Regions from separate parts of the Mus musculus genome. Here regions 2, 3, 4, 5 and 6 are each reported to be linked to region 1. Evidence: microRNA targets listed by miRTarBase, many of them from high-throughput screens and not tested one by one. Region 1 holds a microRNA gene; each other region holds the end of a gene's coding sequence. Distances are from middle to middle.

What was found. The annotated mature microRNA mmu-miR-664-3p reads UAUUCAUUUACUCCCCAGCCUA and lies in region 1 at 2,258-2,279, opposite strand. An mRNA with a match to its seed (bases 2 to 7 or 8) in the 3' UTR can be bound and repressed. Matches are read on the target gene's strand: a 7mer-m8 pairs with bases 2 to 8, a 7mer-A1 pairs with bases 2 to 7 and ends in A, and an 8mer does both.
Region 2: the mRNA of Cyp19a1 is a reported target of mmu-miR-664-3p. Seed matches in the 3' UTR shown: 7mer-A1 at 3,308-3,314.
Region 3: the mRNA of Sycp2 is a reported target of mmu-miR-664-3p. Seed matches in the 3' UTR shown: 7mer-m8 at 3,557-3,563.
Region 4: the mRNA of Rgs4 is a reported target of mmu-miR-664-3p. Seed matches in the 3' UTR shown: 7mer-A1 at 3,160-3,166 and 7mer-m8 at 2,103-2,109.
Region 5: miRTarBase lists Wdr59 as a target of mmu-miR-664-3p. Seed matches in the 3' UTR shown: 7mer-A1 at 1,523-1,529.
Region 6: the mRNA of Scoc is a reported target of mmu-miR-664-3p. Seed matches in the 3' UTR shown: 7mer-A1 at 2,269-2,275.

The regions. Positions count from the first base shown.
Region 1 is chr1:185,241,201-185,245,290 of GRCm38, reverse strand. It overlaps Mir664 (microRNA 664), which reads right to left and starts at 2,316; the gene lies at 2,248-2,316. All of the region lies in intron 9 of Rab3gap2 (RAB3 GTPase activating protein subunit 2), which reads right to left. Snora36b (small nucleolar RNA, H/ACA box 36B) reads right to left here and starts at 2,365; the gene lies at 2,253-2,365. Gm34882 (a long non-coding RNA gene) reads left to right here. Exons shown (of 3, transcript XR_373795.3): 3 at 954-1,582.
Region 2 is chr9:54,162,925-54,167,012 of GRCm38, forward strand. It overlaps Cyp19a1 (cytochrome P450, family 19, subfamily a, polypeptide 1), which reads right to left. Exons shown (of 9, transcript NM_007810.4): 9 at 3,013-4,081. The coding sequence ends at 3,833. Among named protein-coding and RNA genes, the nearest start is that of Cyp19a1, 29 kb to the right of the region's middle.
Region 3 is chr2:178,342,755-178,346,844 of GRCm38, forward strand. Sycp2 (synaptonemal complex protein 2) reads right to left here. Exons shown (of 44, transcript NM_177191.3): 44 at 2,541-3,653. The coding sequence ends at 3,579. Among named protein-coding and RNA genes, the nearest start is that of Sycp2, 63 kb to the right of the region's middle.
Region 4 is chr1:169,740,016-169,744,105 of GRCm38, forward strand. Rgs4 (regulator of G-protein signaling 4) reads right to left here. Exons shown (of 5, transcript NM_009062.3): 5 at 1,462-3,905. The coding sequence ends at 3,666. Among named protein-coding and RNA genes, the nearest start is that of Rgs4, 5.6 kb to the right of the region's middle.
Region 5 is chr8:111,447,479-111,451,568 of GRCm38, reverse strand. Wdr59 (WD repeat domain 59) reads left to right here. Exons shown (of 26, transcript NM_001170742.1): 26 at 490-2,785. The coding sequence ends at 725. Among named protein-coding and RNA genes, the nearest start is that of Gm24793, 31 kb to the right of the region's middle.
Region 6 is chr8:83,432,637-83,436,726 of GRCm38, forward strand. Scoc (short coiled-coil protein) reads right to left here. Exons shown (of 4, transcript NM_019708.4): 4 at 1,856-3,404. The coding sequence ends at 3,262. Among named protein-coding and RNA genes, the nearest start is that of Scoc, 8.0 kb to the right of the region's middle.

The DNA of each region.
Region 1 (4,090 bases):
GAGGAGAGGTAGGGAGTGTGAGGGAGAGGGGAACCTGATCTGGTACTGGGTGAGGAAAAAGGACTGAAGCCCCGAGGGCCAGCAGAAAGAATGGAAACAGACAATCCTGGGAAATAGGAGGTTGATGCAATGCCAGACAGCAGGGAGAGGGGACTTACACAGCCCACCTCCAGCAGGAAGACAGGGCATCATCAAGTGAGGGATGGGGTTGCCATCCCACAGTCAGAACTCTGACCCATAATTGTTCCTGTCTGAAAGAATTACAGGGATGGAAATGGAAAGGAGCCTGAGGAAAAGAAGGTCCAGTGGCAGGCCCAAAGTAGAATACAGTTCAAGGGGAGGTCCCAAGGCCTGACACAATTACTGAGTGCTCACAAAAAGGGACCTATGACTGCCCTCCAAAAGACCCAACAAACAGCTGAAAGAGTCAGATGCAGGTATTTGTACCCAACCAATGGACAGAAGCAGCTGACCCCTGTGGTTGAATTAGGGAAGGCTGAAAGAAGCTGAGAAGGGCGGATCCTGTAGGAGGACCAGCAGTCTCAATTAATCTGGACCCCCGAGATCTCTCAAACACTGGACCACCAAACAGACAGCATACACCACCAGCTGATGTGAGGCCCCCAACACACATACAGTAGAGGACTTCCGGGTCTGTGTTCATTCAGAGATGATGCACCTAACTCTCAAGAGACTGGAGGCCCCAAGGAGTTTAAAAGTCAGGTGGGGTGGGAGGTGGGGACATCCACATGGAGACAGGGGGGTGGGGAGGAGGTATGGGATGTGGAACAGTCAGAGGGTGGATGGAGAGAGGGGACTAAAGTATGGAGTGTAAAAAAATAAATTAAAAAAAAAAAGAATGTGCAGCTCAAAGATCTGACCAGGACTGTCTGGGGATGAAGAGTAGACACACTGTGATTTTATCTCTTGTTATTTGTAACTTTTGAAAACAGGCCATGGAAACATTTACTGTGAGACAAACCCACCCCAGCCTGGCTCCTGTGCTCACCTGTCTCCCCCAACTGCTCATTATAAGTCAGTAAGGAGCTCCAGGCTGCCAGGTCCAGAGAAGCACCCTCTCTTGAATGCTGCTGCTTGACAGTACCCGCCCAAGACAACTGTGTGTGCAGTCATCCCACTGCCTCCGAGCCTCAGACCACCTGTCTGCCCACTGATGCTCTACTGGAATGTGCCGGAAGTCAACATGCAAAACCCAACTTGTGCTCTGCGAGATTGGCCCCCTAAGGATCTTCTTTATTCTCCTTTCAGGGAGCAGGTGCCACGTGTGATTCTGTCACTTAGGGGAAGAGGGGAGTGAGTCCTTGTGTCCCTTTTCTCACTTCTCAAACTGACCTGAGCGACTGTATGACAAACGTCAGATTGCTGCATCCGCTCTAAGTCCATACTCTCACATGCCTGAGCTATGTTGCTGCTGCTTTGATTCCTTTTCCACACCTCTTTCTAAGCAGCACCCCAGGGGTGTTTCTTGGTCTTGTCTATTTGTTTGAGACAGGGCCTCTCTACATAGGCCTGGCTTTCTCAGAAACCAAGTTCAGAATAAAATGCACCTTCCTTATCTTCACGTCTGACCCTTCTGTCATGTCTGAGCTGGCTTCCTTCTCCTCCCACCCTGTCAGCCACACTGACCGCCCTTGTTTCCAAGTCCTCTGAGGTCCTTGGGGTCCCCAGGCTGACAGTTTGGCTTCTGCTGAGGATGCTCTGACTACAAAGCTTCCCACGGCTGGCTGGCTGGCTGGGTTCTCTGGAGAGGCCTGTCCTCAGCATCCATGTCTTCACGTCCTCTACACCAGAGCAGCAGTTCTCAACCGCCCGAACACTATGATCCTTTCATACAGCTCCTCATGTCACAATTGTACAATTACTTTCGTTGCTACTTCATAACTGTCTTTTTGCTACTGTTATGAATTGCAATGCAAATATCTGATGTGTGAGATAGCCGCTATGTGACCCCTGTGAAAGGGCTGTTCCACTCCACGTTAGAATTTATGCTCAGTTAAACTCTCTGCTGGCTTCCTCCATGCTGCCTACTGGCGTTCTGGCAGCACCACCTACTCATTTAGTTCCTATTTATCTCTATCATCGGAATAGAAGCTTTCTCAGGGCGGCGTCCGGGCTGTTGTGTTTCCAGCACCAGCACTATTCCCTAAATAATAGCTATTTATGTACTGAATGAGTTAATTAAGACCTTTATGTAAAGATGTAGATAAAGTTATTGTGCTGTTATTGCTTTCATGTGTAGGCTGGGGAGTAAATGAATAGAATAATGTTTTCTATCCAGTCATTTTCCCCAGCCAGCTTCAATGTTCCAAAGTCTAATTAGCAGAGCAGGGAGGGGACCCTGGGCTGAACTCAACACTTTGGAAATCATATGTTGACATTTCTCTTAGCAGAAAACTGAAGACACACGGAAGTGTTTACCAATAGAGCATCCCACACATTACATATACAATACATAGAGTATTCCACACAAGAACGGTATCCAGGACTATGCAGACAGAATCAGCAGGCCTGAGTGCCAGACACCTTCTGCCAGCCAGCCCTCCACATAACTCCTGCCTTCCCTAGAGCAGGCTTTGGACAGTTCCTGCTGACTTCTGCCTGAATTCAGACAACAGGAGTTCCATCAGGAGACCAGAGAGAGAAAGGGCTCCTTCCCCGAGAGCTGGCTGTACCCTGAGGAAGACTCATCTTGCTCCCAGGCACGATTTGTGAGTGTGAAGATGGCCCCCGGCCTGTAACTCTTCAGGCTTGGCTGTGGCTAACAGCCTGGCTGTTAAGAAGTCTAGTGTATGGACACTGCTGGGGCTTACACAATAGCAAGTCCGGATAGCAGCATCTCTGTAAACAAGCCTTCCAAGCACCCTCTGTCTTCTGTCCTCCGCTAGGACAGAGGCTGACAAATGTCCCCTTAGTAACCCTGATGTGAAAGGAGTTGGTATTATAGAACTATTTATAAGAACCTGCCTTCCCACATGACAATATGCATATAACTTATGCACTTATGCACAAACCAGGAGCTAAACACCAATGATGAGGACCTCTGGATAGAAGGAAAGTTTCTGTTGTTCTTTTTTTCTATGTATTTATACGCTGTTCTATTTGTTTGTTTGTTTTATTTTGTTTTTTGAGACAGGGTTTCTCTGTGTAGCCTTGGCTGTCCTGGAACTCACTTGTAGACCAGGCTGGCTTCTAACTTATAGAGATCCACCTGCCTCTGCCTCTCTCTGCCTCCTGCCTCCCAAGTGCCGGGATAACAGGCGTTCATGTAACACTAGTGCCCAGCCATTGGTCAAATTCTTAACATATATTACAACAATGGAAGATATTTTAAAATAGTATATCTCTTTCTATTTTCACTTTTCCACCTTAATTCAGAAGCCCATTACTTCTCACTAAGATTAGTACAGTCTCCTTATTAGTGTTTTCTTTCATTCTTTGTTTAAAACTTAAGGTGGAGTATGGCCCCATTTCTCATTCTGGCCTTGAACTTGCTGTATTCCTACAAGAGCTGGAATTATAAGCATGCACAAACATATCCATCTTCTCCTAATAGTGACCATAAGACTAACAGAGACCATTTCCAGTCTCTAAGCTGTCTTCAGAGTGGTTTTCTTCTAACGGGCAATGTGAGGGCACTATTGCTGAGAAGTCAGCGGTTCTTGACTCGGCTGAGATAGCCCATTCCTGTGTAAGTGCATGAGGCCTTCAAGGTTAGGTCCCTGGCTGTGTCACCAGCTCCCCTGGCACTCACTTCAGGCCAGTGTGTGTGTTGGCTATAGAGCTTGTTCTTTTCCTGTCAGATTCAGTCAAGTTGCTCAGTGCGGGGCCTTTGTCTTCCCCCTTGGAGCCTACCACAGTGCTCTACTCTTCTGTGGATCTTTCAACTAGCCACACACTCTGGACAAGCCAGGACTTTGCACCCCAGTGTTTCTGCTTTAGGTTTTTTCTTTTCTTTCTTTCCTTTATATAATATATATAATTATATTTAATATATAATATGTGAGTGAGTGTGAGAGAGGGAGAGAGAGAGAGTGAGAGTGAGAACGAGCAAGTGAGTCAGACAGTTATA
Region 2 (4,088 bases), not on the chromosome of region 1:
TAAATATTTTTAAGGCTAAATTAATAAGTTACTATTATCCCTGGATCATATGTTTTGAATAGTCACTAGCCAGCAGGTAGTTTCCAGTGTGTCACAGCTCCAGCAGGTGGACACTATGTTTCAGCTATGTTCAGATGTAGAAAGCAAACCACGGAGAGTAACTTTCTGTGTCACAGTCCTCACTGGACTGCTTCTGAGCTAAACTCGGGTGAACGGCTGGAGTCAGCCTCTTGGGAATCCAAAATAAATGGATATTGAAGGGTATTTCGGACTACCAGACAATAGTACCAACCATACCGTCTGGCACACTACATAGTGAGAGGCTGCCAGAAGCTTGGGAAGGCTATACTCCCTCTGTTGGAAGCTGCCAAACTTCAAAGCTCACAAACCTGTGCTGTGTCTGCCCCTGCTGACTGATTTGAGAACTGCTGTTCTCCAAGCTTGGAAGCACATCCTCAGAGGAAGGTGAGGCTGGGAGAGCTGACAGAGCTACCCTGCCCTTTGTGTTTTTTTAGGGAGTGGCGTATTGCCTACACTCCAAGTTGGAACCTCTGCTCTGACAAATAATAATGCCTTAGAATAGGCTCTGGGAGACTGACCACTGTCCTGAAAATGTTATGCTCTGCAGAATCACGATAGAAGATGGGGGAGATAAAGGCCATTTGTGTGTGTTTGTTTGGGTTCTTTGTTTTTGTTTGTTGTTATTTCTTGATTTTTGTGTTTGTGTTTTGGCTGGTTTTGGTTTTGGTTTTGGTTTTGGTTTTGGTTTTGGTTTTGGTTTTGGTTTTGGTTTTGGTTTTTCGAGACAGGGTTTCTCTGTATAGCCCTGGCTGTCCTGGAACTCACTCTATACATCAGGCTGGCCTCGAACTCAGAAATCCTCCTGCCTCTGCCTCCCAAGTGCTGGGATTAAAGGTGTGTGCCACCACTACCTGGCTTAAAGGTCATTTTTTAATGAATTGGAATAAAGTTCAGAAGTCATGGGTTCCAGTCCCAACTGGATCACTTCTTCAAGTGACAGGTTCAGTTTAAAAACCTAGGTTTTACTAACAATCTGAAGGTTACCCACATGTGATGGGTTATATGTGCATAAAAGAGGGAAACACTGGCCAGTGGGTAGCAAACAAACAAATGGGGATGTGAAGGGATGCTTCATAAAATAATAAAATGGAGATAATAACTTCCTAAATTAAGTTGAGTACCTAACTGAAAATATCATGTATTCCAATTCATTACCAAGTTCAGTTTAGCAAATCTTTCTGAAAATCTAAGTCAGAGGTCAGCCCCAGAACTGATACAAGATACAAAAGAGAGTCCAGGTAGTATTATTTGGAGATGGTCAACACCACATACTCACATAGTGAAACGTGATACTTAGAAATACAAAATGGCAAGTTCCAATGGTCATTTCCCAATATGAGAAGAGTTCTGAACCTCACTATTTTCCAGTTGGAAAGAGAAACAGCATCCCCATTAAAGCCTGGGGAAGGTGATCAACACAGTTGAGAGGAGAGGGGTAATCGTTCTCACGACTTGATTGTGGTAAAGCTTACGTGCATGTATTTTACTGGCAACACACAATCTACCTTTTTGGAAGCTGACAAAAATAGAATCTGTGGCACCTTTGTTAATTAATGAGCACTTAGGGTTTTCAAACATGTGTCCATCAGCCTACTGGAAAGCCAACAGACAGATTCCTCAGTCATGGGAACATATGGTGTTTGTCTGAAGATGCTAGGTTCAACAGTTAACCAAATATTTGATAATGGGAGATGCTCCCTCAATCTTCTCTTCTCTTTCTGTCCTCTCCGTGTTTCTGCCTCCAACTTCTGTTTGTTTTTTTCCTCAACATATTTTTGTGTCCATATCATCTAGATACAACTCTTCCAACTTCTACTTCAGCATAAAATATATGCCTTCAGTGCATATTTACATGTGAAATAAAAGTAGACACTTCAGGAGAATCGGTGAGTGAAGAACACTGATAAGAGCTCTCCTCAGTCATGCAGCTCCACAGGGAAAGATAAAGTAGTGCACTGAGGATTAGCGAGTGGATTATCATAATATGCTAACCTTCACCTTGATCATTGGAGCCAAATCTGGATGGTTATCTAGACCTGGAAACAGACAGATTTGGGTGGATAATTATATATTAGCTCCCTTTAAATCATATAAATTCAAGCCCAAATATGTCCTTCCTGACAATGTTCATACTTGAATTTTTAGGCTATCCATGAGCAAGTGTGCCTATGCCAAGCTGATCTTGACAGTGGATTGTTGTGTCCGGCCAGCAGACCACAACCTGGGTTCTAGCCTGGAAAGGCATTTTGGAAACCTGGAAGAGAAGAGGGGCTAGGTGGCGAGAGAAAGGAATGTAGCCAAGACAGTTATTCTGATCAAGGCTCAAATTTTATTGTTGCGACACTAGTTATGAAGGAAGGGGGAGGGGACCCGATTCCCGCCGAATAATCTCTGGTCCAGTAGAAAGGTGCACGTGTGTGGCTCCGCAGGTTCCAGCAGTGGGCGTGGCAGAACAAATGAGCAGAAAGCTCCACCCCTGAGCAAGCAGGTTTCAGGCTGGGGGAGGGGAGACTACAGTGGATAAGGAAAGTTAGATTGGGAATGGAGAAAAGATAAAATAACAAAACACCTACACATGTTTTACACTCAAGTGTTGCCTTGTTGCTAAACAAAAAGAATGTTCGCATGGGACATGATGGCTGTCCACTCGATGGAAACATGTCATGTGTGTAAGCCTCTGGGGTAACACTTAAATCTGAGGTAGGATGAAAAAAATGATTTGTGAAGGTTTGACCCTTATTTTTTGAAAGAATGGGGTCATGACAAGAGAGAGAGAGAGAGAGAGAGAGGGAGAGAGAGAGAGAGAGGGAGAGAGGAATGAGAAGGTGTGTCAAAGGAAGAGATGGTTCTTTAGAAGTTGGGGCCCCCTGGCCTGCTGCATTTCCTTCCATGGAACTAAAGGAACTAAGCAACAATGCAAAGTTTTTTTTTAAAAAGACTTCTTTATTTGAAATGCACCATGTGATTTTTCCCCCTACACCACACATAGAGTCCTAGCTATATTTTACTCAGGCTAATACTACTTAGGCATGTTTTACCTGAATCTATACCTACTACAGTCTAACTACACTCCTGGGAGCACAAATTGAGAGTAAGAAACGACACCCTATATTTCACTTTTGCCCCCAAACAGTTTACATGTGGATCCACCGTAAGCAACTGGGTTTAATGTAGAAAGAGTCTACCACACACACACACACACACACACACACACACACACACTATGTATTCATGCATGCACAAGTACACACACAGACTTGCATACGTACATGGCACATGCTTGTGGGCGCGCACGCGCGCGCGCACACACACACACACACACACACACACACATATGAAAGTCCTGTTGTTCATTTATGCCTGGCCCACATGCTGGGATGTTGACCTGGCCTTTCTAATAACTTAAGTACTTCTGCCAGAGTCATTTCGATGTGCTGACAACAGCTGTAGAACTCTAGCAGGAGACCAGACGTGTTTTACTGATGGTCTGTCTTTCCCAAGGTATATATTGTAGGATTGGTCCTTTAAGGCTTCAGTTTCTTCACTGGTCCCCAACACAGACTCCTTTCTTTTGCATCCTGGCTCCCTGGATGGATGCCCAGCTTGATGACAAACCATAGGAGCTATGATCATAAAATTCTACAGACCATCAAATGTTCATGGTGAGGTTCACGCCACCTACTCGATAAAATGGATGGTTTCCATGTAATTACGGATAAGTAATGCCCCAGAGTAGATAGGCCACACTTCTTCACTGTTGGAGGTACTTGTCTGAATTCCTTGGAGAGAAAATTATTTCCACAAGGTGCCTGTCCTCATTTGGGTGCAAGGACAGGTCATTCTTTTTCGGTATGTTTTCAATACACCTTTTTTGCAGTGTCTTCACCTGGAATCGTCTCAAAAGTGTAACCAAGACAACTTTCATCATCACCATGGCGATGTACTTCCCAGCACAGCCGCGGGGCCCAAAGCCAAAAGGCTGAAAGTACCTGTAGGGAACCTATGAA
Region 3 (4,090 bases), not on the chromosome of region 1:
CTCCTGCTTAGGATCTCTCCGCTTTTCGCCTTAGATAGCTTTCATAGGAAACTTTTTACAACTTAGTAATAAACTGCTTTTATAATCCAAAGTCCCAAAGTCCACATTCCTTCAAAAAAAGTACCATGTGGCCTATCATAGCAATACTCCACTCCTATTGCTGTCAAAAGACACTATGACTATATATTATATGTATATATAATAAAAGTAAATATATAAGTGAATATATTATATATATATAATATACATTTACTTTTATTTCATGTGCATTGGTGTTTTACCTGAATATTTACCTATGTGAGGATGTTGGATCCTCTGGAACTGGAGTTACAGTTATGAGCTGCCATGTTGGTGCTGGGAATTGAACCTGGGTCCTCTGGAAGTACCACCAGTACTCTTAAAATAGTGAGCCATCTCTCCAGCTCCCAACCCATGACCACTCTTATAAAACATTTAACTGGGCTAGCTTACAGTTCAGAGGTTTAGTCCATTGCCATCATGTTGGGAAGCATGGCAGCATGGAGCTGAGTGTTCTACATATGGAGTGGCAGGCATCAGAAGGATTGTTAGTCACTGGGCCTGGCTTGTGCTTCTGAAACCTTGAAGCCCACCCTAGGAATACATTTCCACCATCAGGGCCACGTGTCTTAATTCATTTAAATAATGCCAATCCTGAGTGTATGAAGGTCATTTTCATTCAAACTACCATATGAGCGGAGAGAAAAATTTTCTGGTCCAGTCTATTTGGTATTTTGTATACTTTTTGTACCTTGATAGATATCTCCTTTAAGTTAAGGACAATGTCTATGATTTTGTTGAAAATATTTTCTGTACTTTTGACATGGGATTCTTTTTCTATCCCTATCAAATTATAGATTTGGTCTTTATAGTATCACAGATTTCCTAGCTGTTTTGTGCTGGAGATTTTTTAGATTTAACATTTTCTTTGATCAAGGTATTGCTCTCTTCTACTTTGTCTTCAATGCCTGATGTTCTCTCCCCCATCTCTCATATTCCATTGGCGAGACTTGTCTGTGAGGTTCCTATCTGAGTCCCTAAATTTTTCATCTCCTGATTTCCCTCAGTTTGGGTTTTCTTTATTCTCATTTGTAAGTCCTAAACTGCTTTACTCATTTTCTTCCACTGCTTGCTTGTGTTTTCATAGATTTCCTTAAGGAATTTATTCATTTCCTCTTTAAAGACCTCTGTATTCACAAGGCTGTCTTAAGAGCTTTTCTATTGCTCGGCTATGTTGCATTTCTCAAGGCTTGCTCTAGTGGGGTTGCTGGGCTCTAGTAAAGACGTTGACCTGTTACTGTGTTTATGTTACTAAGTATCTGGGTTTGGGAGGATTGTAATTCTAGTTGTTGACATGTGGTCTTCTCCTTGTTGGGTGGGTATTTTGTTCTTTCATTCTGTTGCCCTCTCTGGTTCTTAAGGGAATATGGTAGCCCTGTGTTGCCTGGTAGGGAATTCTGGAATCCTGCCAGGTGTGGCCACTGGGGGGCTTCTACATAGAATATGTTTCTAGGTATTGGGAGCGGATTCTTAGGAATGGGGATAGATAGGTGGTCCCACCGGAGGAATGAAAGCAGGGTATTCTACTGGGATCTGCTTAGCATCTTGGGAATGGCAGAGAGCAAAGAGAGGTGAAGACAGGTGGTCTATAGAGCTGGGGGTGGCATTTGGTGATTGGATTTGGAGAAGAGGGAAAGGTGATGAAAGGTCTGCAGTTACCCTTATCTGCTTCTCTGGCTGGTGTGGCCGAGCCTGCAGGTTGCAGGGGATAAAGGGATGAATACGGGAAGGAACGTTGGAGAATATTTGCACAGTCTGTTGGAGATGGGGGCAGAAGGAAGGGGAGGCCATAGTAGACGGTTTGCTACAGATCTGCGGATGAGACTGGGGGATTAGATTTGGAGGAGAGGAGGAAGAGGTAAAGATCTGCAGGTAGTTTACCTGTTTCTCTGGCCAGCTCTGGTAGTTCTAAATGATTACATTAGAAATAATTATGTAAATACACACATTATATTTCTAAATTGCTTCTTGTCCCATAAATCCTAAAGCATATTACCACATGGACCTTGAATAGCAAGTTTCTAACTCCTGGTCTAAATTTAAAAATAAATGAATATGTTATATCTATTAAACATGAATGACAGAACAACTCATAAGTAAATTATCAAATCTATTTTGAGTTTCTATACTCAAAATCACAGCCAAAATAACTTGCCTGAGTTATAAAAACTGCACATAAAATTAGGTAAATAACAAAGACTATTGCTGTTAAAGGTGGTATTCCATTAGAGGGCAGCCCATTTCTCCAAGTTCCTTTTCAGTATAAATTTTTGGCATCACAGTATATATTAAGGTTCAAAAACAATGTAACCCTTGATCTCACTCAAAATTTCTGGCTAATGAAAAAGAACTAAATTATTTCATTCTAGAGATTATTTTAGAATACTCCCAAGAATAACCTTTACTTAATGTGTATAAAAATTTGAAAAAAAAATGAAACTAATGATTTTACAAATACATCATTTGAAGGACATTTGTTTGGGCCCATGGCTTTAATGTTTGCAGGCAGAACTGAATTTGAGGTTAGCCAGGTCTACACAGACCATGTCTCAAAAAACAAGAGTTACAAAATTAATCTTAGCAGTTCTTTGTTGTACACACAGTTCATCTAAGGGCTAATAAAATGTAAAATCTCTCTCTTTCTTAAAACTAGAAACTCCCATCATTTTCCTCATAAATCTTAAAATCTTAGCTGATGTCAATTGAATACACCAAGAATGTATTTGTGCTTGACTAAGAAACTACTTCACCACTGTAATATTAAATGCTGGTATTGCTCAAATACTCTACAGCCTTCAGATTGGTATTACCTTCAAGTGTCTGACTGAAGGTGGCTTGTAAGTCATGGTTCATAAAACACAATAATAGTAACTGTAAAGTAATTATACTTACTCAAATAAGCATTTATTTAAAATACAATCTAACAAAATATTAGGTGAATACCAGGTGCTTAGAAAGAAATGGCAAGCAGCCTGCTTTGTAGTTAAGACTTCTACACTGTGATAAAATATTTATGAAATAGCTATAACTTTAGGTCACTTTAACACTTTTAGTGCACTGTAACTCTATATATCTCAAAGTATGAAGGTACTAACAATTAAAGATCTTAAAGCAGAGCCTTTTCCTCTTTCAAAGAATTGCTAATATTTTAATACTTGTATATTTACAAACCATCATGCAAATTTCAGTATATTTTATTCCAAAACTGCATTAATTTAAAATTACACTTTATATATAAATACTTTAGTACAGACACTACTTTCACAGACATAGTTAATATAAAAATATGATCCAAGGAAAGTCAGCTCCTTTTACTGTTTGCTCATAGGACATACAAGCTGCATTTGGAGTCATGTTTTTCATCTCTAACATTTGAGTCGGGAGGTTCTTGCACACAAGAATAGAGGTGCTTAGATGATGCATCTTTGCAAAGCTACTTTATTAGTGCTTTATTTATACACAAAAAACTAATCATAAAATTCATTGACAGCAGCCAGATTTCATGCATCATTTCCTTCATGAGCCTTGAATAATGACTGTAGTCCTCTGCGTATGTTGAGAACTTCCTCTTCATGCTGTGACCAAGGGAAACGACAACCATTTACATAAAGATACATTCAATGCTAAGTCCACCCATTCCCTTAGGATTTACATGGAGGTATATAGAGGATTCTCCAATCATTAGCGATATTCATGATACTGGAGAAAAGACTTGCAATCTTCCAAAGATTATTCTAGAAAAAATTTTCAATGAGGACAAACTTAGGCAGCTTATTTGCTCAAGCTGTGCAAGCCTGGCTACAGCCTCACAACCTCTGCACACTTAGTACCACATGTCAGTAAAATCTCACAAGTATGTTAGTATTTTATGTAGGTAAGGATTATTATTATTATGTACTTAAAACTTTGAGAAAACCCCCAACCATACCTGTGTAAAGCACTGGCATGTGTCTCTCTGGAGAGCACTTCATCCTAGAATGTGGTCTACTTGACTTCTAAAAATCCAACTATG
Region 4 (4,090 bases), 16 Mb from region 1:
AAGAAAGAAAGAAAGAAAGAAAGAAAGAAAGAAATTCTCAAAGTGCTAAGATGACACTGAACAGCTGCGACAGAAAGCTCTCTCCCAGATGTGCGGAATTGCAGGCTGGTCTCCAGTCGATCCGAGGTCTGAACCCCCATGGTCATAATTCACCTACATGACATGGTAGGCATTCCCTCATGCTCCTGGAACTCCGGCCCCTGCCTAAGGTACCACCTCCCACAGCCCCCACAAGAGAAGCATGGTCAGTAGTTACTTAAGCAATGGCCCAAGCTTCTGACCTTCAGGCTAAACTCCTCCTCAGTTACCTAGCAACAGTGACGACCATAAAAAGGGGTGCTCAGCCTGTACCTCGCTCTCTTATTCCTTTGTCCTCTCACCTCTCTCTTCTCTCACTTCTCTCTCATCTTCCCTTTCTCTTTGTCTTCTCCTCTCCTCTCTCCTCCCTCTTTCTCTCTAGCCTTCCCTCCCTCCCTCTTCTCTCTTTCCCTTGCATTTCTATAATAAAGCTCTTAAACCATAGAGTGTCTCTGCTCCTTCAAGTTCCGCTGCACACTCTGGTTAGTGTTGGGAACTTCTTCCCCCATTCCCTCTCTCCCACAACCCTGGTGGCTTTAGCAAAGTAGCTTGGGGGGGTCCCCAGGCAGGGCTGCCCCTTGGCCACCCCCTGAAGAGTGGGATAGAGGAATGCCCACCCAGGGATGAGTGGATAGGGTAGGTAGCAGCCTTCCCATGCCTGACTGACCAGAGAATAGGGAAACTCTGACAGGGCGTTGGGCATCTTTTTCCTATCCCACTTCTCCCCGGCACCCCCTCCCCCCCTGGATTTTATTTTGTTCCCAACACCTAGACACCTCTAGGTACCTTCAGTTTCCTCAGCTTCTCCACAACCTTTCGCACTCTGGCAGGTAATTGAAAGTAGACAGCTGCTCAGAAGGGAGGCCCTACCCTTAAAATCATATGGAAAAGAAAAGCTGTGCCTGTCACCCTAAGACTTGGGAAGATGAGACAGGAGGATTGCCATGAATTTGAGCTCAAACTAGTCTTCACAATTAAGTTACAACCCAGTGGACTACAGACTGAGTGAAACCCCATTTGTTGGTTTTGTTTCCTTTGTTTTATTTTGATGTTTTTTTAGATTTTTGGTGGTGGTATTTTGTTCTGTTGGTTTTTGTTTTCTTGTTTTGTTTTGTGGAATTTTCTTCCCCCAACCCCAATTGAAGACCTGTAGACCACTAGATCTGCCTACTCTTCAAACCTAGAACAGCCCAGGGCTTGTGAGCAGAAGCAAGAAGATCAGCAAAAGGGGCCAAAGTCTAAATGATACGGCTTCTGCTTTCCTTCCTGGAGTTGGCAGGGGAGGGATACAAGTCTCTGTGTGAGTCATTTTCTAAAGGCACTCTATGCCCCGCTGTTTCTTCCAGCATGCCTCGCTGGATCATTAATGTGTTTCCAAGCAGATTGTTTTGTAGGAAGCATTTATTTACTGTCATCATTAAGATTTGTGTGTTTCGTCGGAAGCATCAGTGTTGAGGCCTATAAAGCACATGGCAGAAGCAGACATGCATATGGGAGGAGCATTCCTTACATGGACCAGCGGCAGGCAGGCTCACCATTCCAAGGAGCGATGGAAATACAATTGAAAACACACTCAGGATGTATTACACAAAATAATTTACTTCTCATTCAGAATGACTTTCCAGACCTATTTGTGAAACAGCAGTCTGTGAGTACAGGTACAATCTCAAAGTCATGATACTATTAGGGCAAGACCAAAGAGTTATACAGACATGATCATGGATGGGGTGTATAACAAAAAGGAGTTAGGAACACTGATGGGGGAGCTCTGGGGACATTACAAGCAAGACTGTCAAGAGAGACGAAACGAGTACCCTTAGAAAATTATTTCTTCAATACGACGAGACTTGGATACACACTATTCCAGTGTCTTCATTTTGCAGCCCGGTACATTGGCTTACTAGCCACAATGGTGCTCACACATGTAATTTAAACTGGAGCAATGACTGCAGTGTTGCACGAATGTGTGTGTGCTCTCAAAGGCAGTACTTTTAGAAGAATGAGAAGGAAATTACTTCTTGGGCATTCATTAATAATTTGGGTAATATCCTGTACCTCCATTTATAAAACAATACAATAATAAAAACACTGTACAAAACATCATAAATAACACAAATGAGAAATTTTCAAGTATTTCACGTGCCTTGAAAAGCTCCAAGCAGTAGTCCTACCAACTGATAGCCTCTCCTCTTCTGTTTTCTTTTCTCTTTCTTTTTCCTTTCCTCTCTCCTTTCATTGGTCTCTGCTAGCCTTGGTGTTTGGGATGGGGTGAACAAGCTCTTACCTCAAAGCAGAAAACCAAAGAGGGCTTTGCAGTTCATGAGAACTTCCTTCCTCCTGATAAAACATAACCTTTCCCCCCGATGATGCTTTACAGATGTAGGCATGTAGCTTAGAACCACGGCAGGTAGCCGTGGTTTTTAAAGTGAACAACCAACCACAGGGAACTAAGGAGGCTCCTCTGACAGGTGACATTCTTGAGGGGAAGGAAAAGAAGAGCACCTTATCAAAAGAGGAAAGAATTAAGATAATCTTTAGGTCCTCTGCCCTCACCTAAGCAGTAGTCCTTGGTAGGGCTAGGCAGCAAAGCCTGGACCACATTCCTTCATTCAGCTCAAACATTCAGCTCTAGACCAACCCAGCTGCTAATCAGCACACCCTGAGCACCCAGGCAAAGGAGGGAAGGCCATCAGCAGAGGGACTTAAAAAGTGCCAGTAGTGATCACTGATGCAAGGCAGTTCAGTGTCAGTCAGACAGCAGAGTTTTCAGAGTGCTCACCCCTTAGCTTAGTGCTCAATGTGGAGGCCATCAACAACTAAACACAAAGGCCCTGGCTATTCTCCGCCAAGACCCAGTGGTTCTATAGAACTCATTCCCCACAAGTTACTGTTCCTTTCTTAGCCTGCATGGCAGTTAATTCAGTTTGCCCTGTTCAGACACGGTATGAAGGACCAGAAATCAGAACATGCATGCAAGCATGTCTACACACTCCAGTTTGAGCACCTAGGATCTTTCCCATCTTTTCTTAAAGAAATGTGTGTGCATGTGTCAGTATATACATATATAGATAGATAGATACATATTCATGCACATTCACACACATTGAATACATAGGTATAATATATACAGAATGTATATGCATATGTTATGTATATTTTAATGTATACATATGCATACACAAATATCACCTAAACATTGAGAGTCCGTAGGAAGTGCTGCTGGCCAACATTACATGTGCATGGAATGTCACATGAAGTGTACCAACTAACTAACTTGAGGTCAAACTGTTGAAAGGGGCAGACTGCCAGCCATCTTTGAAAATCCAGACCTACGGAGCCATTATTTGGAAACTTGCTCACCCTTAAGGAGACTTGGGAAAATTTAAAACAAATTGGGTCTTACCCTAGTGAAAACCCCAACACCACAACTAAGGCTAGTTTTACATGGAAGTGACTCACACGCGGCAGGCAGCATGGACACTAGGCTACAATGTGGATAAAGCATTGGTGCTTAAGATCAATATTTGGCCTCAGGTTTTTCAGAGCATAGAGTCTTGGCATTTGGGCTCCCTGCCTCTGTGTGAGAATTAGGCACACTGGGAGACCAGGGAAGTGCAGTCTGCAGAACTCTTGGCTCCTTTCTGCTTCTCTGCCCCGCAGCTGGAAGGATTGGTCAGGTCAAGATAGAATCGAGACTTGAGGAAGCGGCGGTAGGAATCCTTTTCCATCAGGTTGAAAATCTTCTTCTGGGCTTCATCAAAACAGGTTATTGTGGGCTGTAACATGTTCCGGCTTGTCTCCTCTCTGGTGCAAGAGTCCAGGTTCACCTGAAGTGCAAAGACCAAGGTTGCATTAGATCTAGTGCCCTGTTGAAGAGAGGAGGCTGCAGGCTTGGAATGAACAAGGAGTGGCTGGGACCCTTTCTTTACATTTCTCCCCGGAATGAAACCCGGGACATTTGGGTCTGCCCTGACATATGTGTATAAAAGGTTCCCTCTGCCTCTAAGTGGAA
Region 5 (4,090 bases), not on the chromosome of region 1:
ATAGCCCTGGCTGTCCTGGAACTCACTTTGTAGACCAGGCTGGCCTCGAACTCAGAGATCTGCCTGCCTCTGCTTCCCAAGTGCTGGGATTAAAGCTGTGCCACCACGCCCGGCTGTTGTTTCTTTTTTTAATGTATATGAGTACACTGTTGCAGTTTCAGACACACCAGAAGAGGGCATGGGATCCCATTACAGATGGTTGCGAGCCACCGTGTGGTTGCTGGGAATTGAACTCAGGATTTCTGGAAGAGCAGTCAGTGCTCTTAACTGCTGAGCCATCTCCCCAGCCCCAGTAGATACGTTTTTGCGTTACGTGGTTGACCAGGGAGAAAGAAAATGCATGAGGATGAGAGAGAAGGAAGAAATGACTGATCTGCCAGAGCCTGACAGGGTCCTGAGAGGAGTCGGTATCCTTACCCAGCCAGACTCAGTCTGCTTTTATTAGAACTAATGTCTCCTCTTGCTTTGCCCCTGTCCACCCATTTGCAGAGTTTGGTGTGTACTGCAGTCACTGTCGGAGCGAGGTCCGTGGCACCCAGTGCGCCATCTGCAAAGGCTTCACCTTCCAGTGTGCCATCTGCCATGTGGCCGTGCGGGGTTCATCCAACTTCTGCCTGACCTGTGGGCATGGTGGCCACACGAGCCACATGATGGAGTGGTTTCGGACCCAGGAGGTATGTCCCACGGGGTGTGGCTGCCACTGCCTGCTGGAGAGCACCTTCTGAACTTAAAGGACAGTGGCACTTCCGGAAATCCCAGAGGACTCCATAAGTGCTGGAGAAGGCTCTCTGCTGCTGCTGGTGGAAAGTCCTAGAACCAGGGCCATCCTCGTGATTTAGGATGGAGAGTATCCTCTCACAGACTGTCACAGCATCCGCTCGTGATCCTGTGTGTTCCCTTCTCCTTGGCTGCCGGGCACGGATGGTGCTGGAAGAAGGGAGGGGGACGCACAGAGCTGACCCTCCTGTACTGTCTGTTGAGTCCACAGTGGATGTTTTCATGAGGAAAAGCACCTGTTTCCAGAGCCATCAGAGCTAGCATCAGCCTTCAAGATTCTGTCCTTGAACCAGGAATGGACCCTCCAGATGCCAGTACAAAGGCACACAGCAGCTGCAAAACAGACTCCTGAGCCAGAAGACGCTGGCTCTTAGTGCCATCCACAAGTGAGCTATGGTATCTGTGACTTAGAAGTTGGCACCTTGATGATGGCCTTATAAAATACAATACTAAAGTGTAATATATGATGGACATATATTCAGCATTCTTTTTCTTGGTACAGGGCTGGAACTCAGCGCCTTGCACATACTGGTGAGCAGCCATACCACTGAGTTACATTCCAGCCCCATAAGAAACTTAAGATGTATATGTTTTCTGTTTCTCTTCATCTGCTTTCCTTTAACTAATAGAAGTTTGTACTTGTGTGTGTGTGTGTGTGTGTGTGTGTGTGTGTGTGTGTGTGTGTGTGAGTGAGTGAGTGAGTGAGAGAGAGAGAGAGAGAGAGAGAGAGAGGGAGAGAGAGAGGATGAATAAGGAAAGTGACCGTCTTAGTGACTCATTTTGCATTGTACTTCTGGTTGAAGGGAACTGTTTTGGACCGGACTAGAATTAGTCTCATGACTTGTAAAGGAAATGCCATTTGACTTTGATCATCTGACAGAGGAAACGGAATCTGACATTAAGGTTCTCTCTAGCCGCAAGAGTCTCATAATTATTTCTTCTAGCACAGGGGAAATGAGATTGCATTTCAGCACTGATACCAGAGTCTCTCTCTGCCTCTGGGCAGGCTGGCTGGGCTCCAGGGGTACTTTTTACTTGAACTCCCTTGCAAACTCATCATGATTTTCAGGGGTTTCACTTGTCTATACCAGGGAAGAGAGTTTAAAAAAAAAAACAAGACCCACTATACTGAAATCTCTCTCTCTTAGAAATTTAAATTCCTTGGGCCTGTCATAAGGCTCAGTGGGCAGAGGTGCCTGCCACTAAGCTTACTAACCTCAGTTTTCTCCCTCGCATGAGCCACCATAGAAGAACTGACTCCTAAGAGTTGTCCTCTGACTTCCACATGTGTGCTTTGATATGTGAATGTACACACACACATACAAAAAATGTAATTTAACAATTTTATGATTCCAAACTAATTAACCGGAGACACATAAGTAATTTGTGTCATTGGATTATGGTTGCACGTGTTTGTAGTCCCTTCACTCACGGGGCTGAGGTAAGAGGGTTTCAAGTTTGAGACCATCCTGGGCTACACAGTGAGGTGATGGCCAGCCTCACTTATATATGAAGACACTTACAAGCAAACGTCATAAAGAAGATCTGGAGAGATCGCTTAGTAATCAAATGCTTGGCTAGCATACAGGAGGTGATGTGTTTGATCCTCAGCAACACACACACTGACACTCAAACTAAAACAAAACAAAATACTACATGTTCCATAATAGGTAAGTGTTGTATATCACTTTGTTTGAAACTATGATTTAAGACTCATGAATGGATTAGGAAATCAGTCTCGTAGATAAAAACCAACACTTTCTATTTTCAAGGATTACTTTGTGTGTGTAAATCTCTGTGTCTTCAAGTGTATGTTGTGTGGGACAGAAGAGGCCATCTGGTTCCTTGGTGCTAGGATTATCAGTCTTTTCAGGACACCTTGTGTCATGTGTGTTCAGGGATCCTAACTTGGATCTTCATGATTGCAAAGTCAGAACTGTTTTGTCTCCAGCCCCCAAACTGTCATATAAAGAAAGTAAAATAATGTGGGTGAGAGACAATCGTGTACTAACACAGTCTGATGTCCTTTGTTTACTAGTGCGTGCGCACACACACACACACACACACACACACACACACACACGTACTTATATCTCATGGTGGCAGGTGGGCCTCACCTCTCCCCTGTATTACTAATTGGTCATGAGACTCCGTGGCATAAGCTTGATCTTGAACTATGTGCCAGGTTTGGTACCAGTGCCTCAGCAGCACGTGTAGTCCGGTGTGCTGGGATGGGGGAGGAAGGGCCGCAGGTATCTGAGTGTATTACACTGTACTCCTCCAGCCTCGTTTGTGTCGACACTGCCGTGATGCTGGTCCCACAACAGGCGGACTGATGTGCACAGACACAGATCTGTTGGGTCCTCTGTGAGTTCACACCATTTACAGAGAGCGGTCTCTTCCTCTACCCCACCGTGAAGCTAATGGAAGCCCTGTCCCTGTTTAGAATGACATAGTTTTCTTGTGTGGATTATTTCTGTAAGAACATTGTCTTCCAAAACAAAAAAACCTTCTTAGTGACTATGAAGTCATTTCAAGTTTAACATGTTTCATAGGGGGCTGGAGAGATGGTTCAGTGATTAAGAGCACTGGCCGCTCTTCCAGATGCAAGTCCCAGTAACCATAAGCCAGGCCACAGACGTTTGTAACTCCCATTCCGGGGATCAGATGCCTTTCTCTGGCCTCTGTCAGCACCAGACATGCACATGCTATGTAGACATGCTGGCAAAACACTCTTTATGCATAAAATAAAAACAAGACACTATGTAACATCTCTCAATAGGTCAGTTCTGTTTGCATTTCCAAGTTACCAGGACAAAAACTTAGTATTTGTGAGAAATATCCCTGTTTGGAAACACAGTGGTCTGGATGCTGGTGGGGTCAGCAGCCTCTCTACCATAGCTAAGTCCTCTTGGTTTGGTTTACTGTGCTCGTCTGAGGTAGGGCACCGTTGTGTTTCCCAGCTGACCTTGAACTTGAGACCTCTGACTGCCAGAGTGCTGGGATTCCACCACACCTGGGCTTTATTTGCTCTTTAAAATATTATAACCTGTGTCCTAAACACCTTTGAATTTGCCAGGGAGAACACTAGGCATGGGCATGGTGGCACACGCCTCTAATCCGCATTTGGGAGGCAGAGGCAGGAGGATCTCTGAGTTTGAGGCCAGCCTGGTCTACAAAGCGAGTTCCAGGACAGCCAGGGCTGTTCTTACACAAAGAAGAAACCTATCCTGAAAAACCAAATCCAACCAAACAAACAAAAACTTTTTGCCATGGGAAAGCAGTGCTAGCTGTCCAGGGTACCAGGGGCTCT
Region 6 (4,090 bases), not on the chromosome of region 1:
TTGTGAATGTCACATTTTGTACCCCAATCCTACTCATCTCCCCATCCCTTCATACCTGCCCTCCAAATTGTTATGGAAGCTATAGTATGTGAGACTGTGTCCCACAGTATGCCCTTTTGTTCACACTCCGTTACTTGCAAATGCTCATTGCAATGAGTCCTTGGTCTGGTTTGAGGCCAGGACTATCAATACTGGATCCTAGGACTCCTCTCAGATCTGCTTTTTTACCTGTGTCACTGAGATCCCACAGCTTTGGGTCTGCAGGACCAGTCCTTTAAAGAGCTCCAGAAGCCCAGAGATGATGTGGATGTTGGGGTGGGCCAACTTAAAGCTCTAGATTTGGGCCTGGGTTGTAGCTGAGCTGGTCAGACCTCCAGCTCTCCAGCACCCAAACTACCAGGCAAGTTCTCCAGCATTGCCCTGGCTTACCCAATGCCAATCAGCAAGGGGCAGAGCCAGCTCTTCTGCTCTCATGCCCCTGGGGGTCAGCTCACCCACAACCACTCCAGCAGGAACAGCTTTATTATGCTGCCCAGGTGAGGCGCAGAGCCCACTCTACCAAAGTGTTGCAACTGGTGAGGGGCAGGGCTAGCTCTCCAGCTCTGCAGACCCCAGGGCCAGCTCTCCCACCTGCATTTCAGTGGGCCCTAAGGTAGTTGCCTCTGTTACAGAGTCAAGTCCTAGAGAAAAAAAGCTTGAGTCAGGGCTAGAAGAAAGTTTGACTGTCCCTGACACACAGACTGAGAGTACAAAGATAAAAGGTTTCAAAGCAAGATGGCTCAAGCTAGGGTACAGTCCAACTACATGAGCTTGGTCCCCAGAACTCACATGGTGGGAAATAGGACAGACTCTTGTAGGCTGTCCTCTAACCTCAGTGCATATAGCAAACAGATGGAAGAGATGTAAACTAGGTAAAAGGCTTCAGTTTTTTTGTTTGAGAACGCTATACTAGCCAAAACAAAACAAAACAAAACCCTTGAGCTTGACTTAAAATAAGGGGCACCAAGCTCTTGCCAACAACTGGACGGTTTTCTCAACCTTAGGGGTGGAGGTGGGGTGGGTATGGAATAACTTTGAAGGGGAAAGCCACAAAAGCTAGTGAGAAAGGAAAGCCTTGGTCAGAGTCAGGGTCTATATCCAGGGACTTGTGTCCAAGTTCCATTCCACCACTGCCTCAGATCTAAGTGTCTCTACTCCACATCGCACACTGAGAGCTTTCTACTTGGCTATCCTGTCCCATAATACTCTAGACCAGGGAAAAAGTGAGAACAGATAAACTGAGGGACCTCAAGGGAGATCTTGGATTTTAAGCTCAATCCTTAGCTGGATTGGGGCACGGAGGTGGGGTGCTGGAATGCTTTCTCTGTGAGGAAACATAGTTCCAGAGACTTTGTAGCAAGAGATCAAGCTGTGGCTAGGACTGCTAGGACAAGTCCTTCACTTCCTCCCACATGGAAGAAATCACACTGCTCAGCCAATCCGAGGCTTTGGATGTAAAGAGGCCTGGACCATTTCAAGACAGAACTCTTCATACCTAGATTCTGGGCACTCACAAACTCTTTCCTGTAAATAGAATGAATAGTGTAACTGATGATGCAGAAGCCATGACAGAACAATCTATGCAGCAGAGCCCTCTAGCCTGGGAACAAGTGAGGGGAAGGAGCCTAACCCTAAGCCAGCCCCCTTCCCTAGAACTTCAATAAAGGGTAAGCTTCTGCAACACTGTGCTACTAAAGACTGCCCTGTAGCAGTCTTGGGTGCTTAAATAAGATACACTATTACAATGTGATACTGCAAACCCTGGATACCCAATGCACATGTACTTAGCAAGTGTATCAAAACACACACACACACAAAACCTCTGAAACAGCTTTTTATTAAACAGCAAAGCAGAACTTGAACACAATTTTAAATATCTGTAACAAGGTCACAAAAGGGTTGCAAAATGTCTGCAATGTGAGGATTACACATCCATATAGCTAACGTCACTCATCAAGGCTTACATTAATACATTAGATAATTCCACAAGTCAAAGCAGCCCAGCCTAAGAGCCACCAGCTGCATTAGTGGATCTTTCCTATTATAAGACTTCACTATTATTTCTGATATCAGCTCCTTATCAAATGGAAGCTACAAACTAAATTTTTAAAATTTGTTAAAAGAATGACTAAAATTCTGCAAACTAAGTAGTTGAGTTTACAGAAATTCTGGGAAAACAACTGAGATAAAATACCGAGGTTAATAATTATCACATATACAAAACTCTTATATTCATGATTCTGATATTAATATACTCTCAATTAATTTTGCAAAAGTTCATTTCCTGGGTACAAATAAACTTTGAGACCAAACTCTTAACTAGTCTCTCTTAATCCACTTACATTAGACTCAGTCCACTTTCATATATGTCCCCAAAGTGCAGCTGTGGGCCAGAGGTAATACACATTTAGAGGGAAAACACTGCGAGCTGGTTATTTCTGTTAATCCAGTTTTCCTTCTTATTCCTATCTTTTCTCAAGTTTTTTGTTTGTTTGTTGTTTTTTAATTTCTCACACACATATGACCAGCATTCCTATCTTTTCAACACCAAATGAACTATTTTATGCAATAGGGAGTTTTTAGCTTCTCAGTGTGGCAGTTTACATTTCAAAGAAAACTCTTCATTTTCTATAGCTTCAATCTACTTTCGATTGATTAAAGAGAAACCAGCAATCCTATCTTATTACTAAATATCACAAACGGCAAGCCTTAGATAAGAAAGTGTCTTATTTTGGTTAAGTGTCAACAATTCTAGTTTAGGTTACTCTTGTAGGAGAAACTGCTGAAGTTACCGTCAGGGAGGGAGATGGGAGAGGCACAAGACGGTGCACAAGGTACAGAAGCTGTGCATTCAGTACATGGTTTTGGTCACTTTTCACAACATGGTTATTTTTTTGTATATTTTACTAGTTAGGCTTATGATAAAAGACAGTGCTAAACCTATATATATATAAGCAAATTGGCAAAACATTCATCTTCAAGTTTCATAAATATCTGTAATTCTAATATAAAGTCTCTACATGTGCACATTTTCATAGACTAACGTATACATATAGCGTTAACTCAGAGATGCTCCTGTTCAGCATTAGTGTTACCTAGATGTGACATTCTCTTTATAAATACTCAGGGAAGAACAAAGATACTCTAACTTTTGGATCATATCCAAGCCTTAAGGGGGAAGAAAAAAAGCAGCAATCCATAGAAGAGAGGGAGGTGAGCCCTTTACTTCCTTTTGCTTTTTGTATCAGTTGTTTGAAAAACACTAGAAGCAGACATGAGGTTTTCTATATATTGTCCGAGAACTTGATTTTCCGACTTTAGCTTCAGATTTTCTTCCTTAACTGCATCTACTCTTGCAGAAAGATCTGTATTCAAAATAAATAAATAAAAATACAATTACCAATAAAAATCATGGCAATGACTCCATGTTACAAATGCAGACCAGGCTGTGGGGTGACTCAGTGCTACAGCCCTTGCCTAGCATGTGTGATACCCTGAATCTGATTCGTAGCACTAACAACAAATAAATATCACAATTTGTAAGTTTTCTGTTTTTTTTTTTTTTTTTAATTCAGGTTATTGGGGGAAAGGCTTAGGTTAAAAAAAAACCTTGTACTGAGTACAAATCAGAAGACGGTGATTGTTAACAGTGTTTGCCATGGGACTCGGGAGTCTGTAGAGAGCATTTCTTTTAACTCTTGAGGTGGTTAAGAAAACATTGCATTTCTAAAGTATGCCTGTCCTCCCACACATAATGGTCATGTCTTTACTGGAAATGTTTAAGATGCAGAGCTTAACACAACTGGATTCCTAAGTTGGATAAAAGATCCAAGCAGCTGATCTTTTTATAGTTTTATATTAGTTAAAAATTCAAGAGATATAGATTCTAATGGACAAATAAAAAATTATGTCCATTCACATATTTAACAAATGTATATTGACCAACAGAAGCAGACACCATTCTAGAAGCAACAGAGAAAAACATGGTTGTATGTGGGCACCTGTGACTCAGTAACATGGGGCCCAGGTATCAAGAGTCACAACTTTTCTA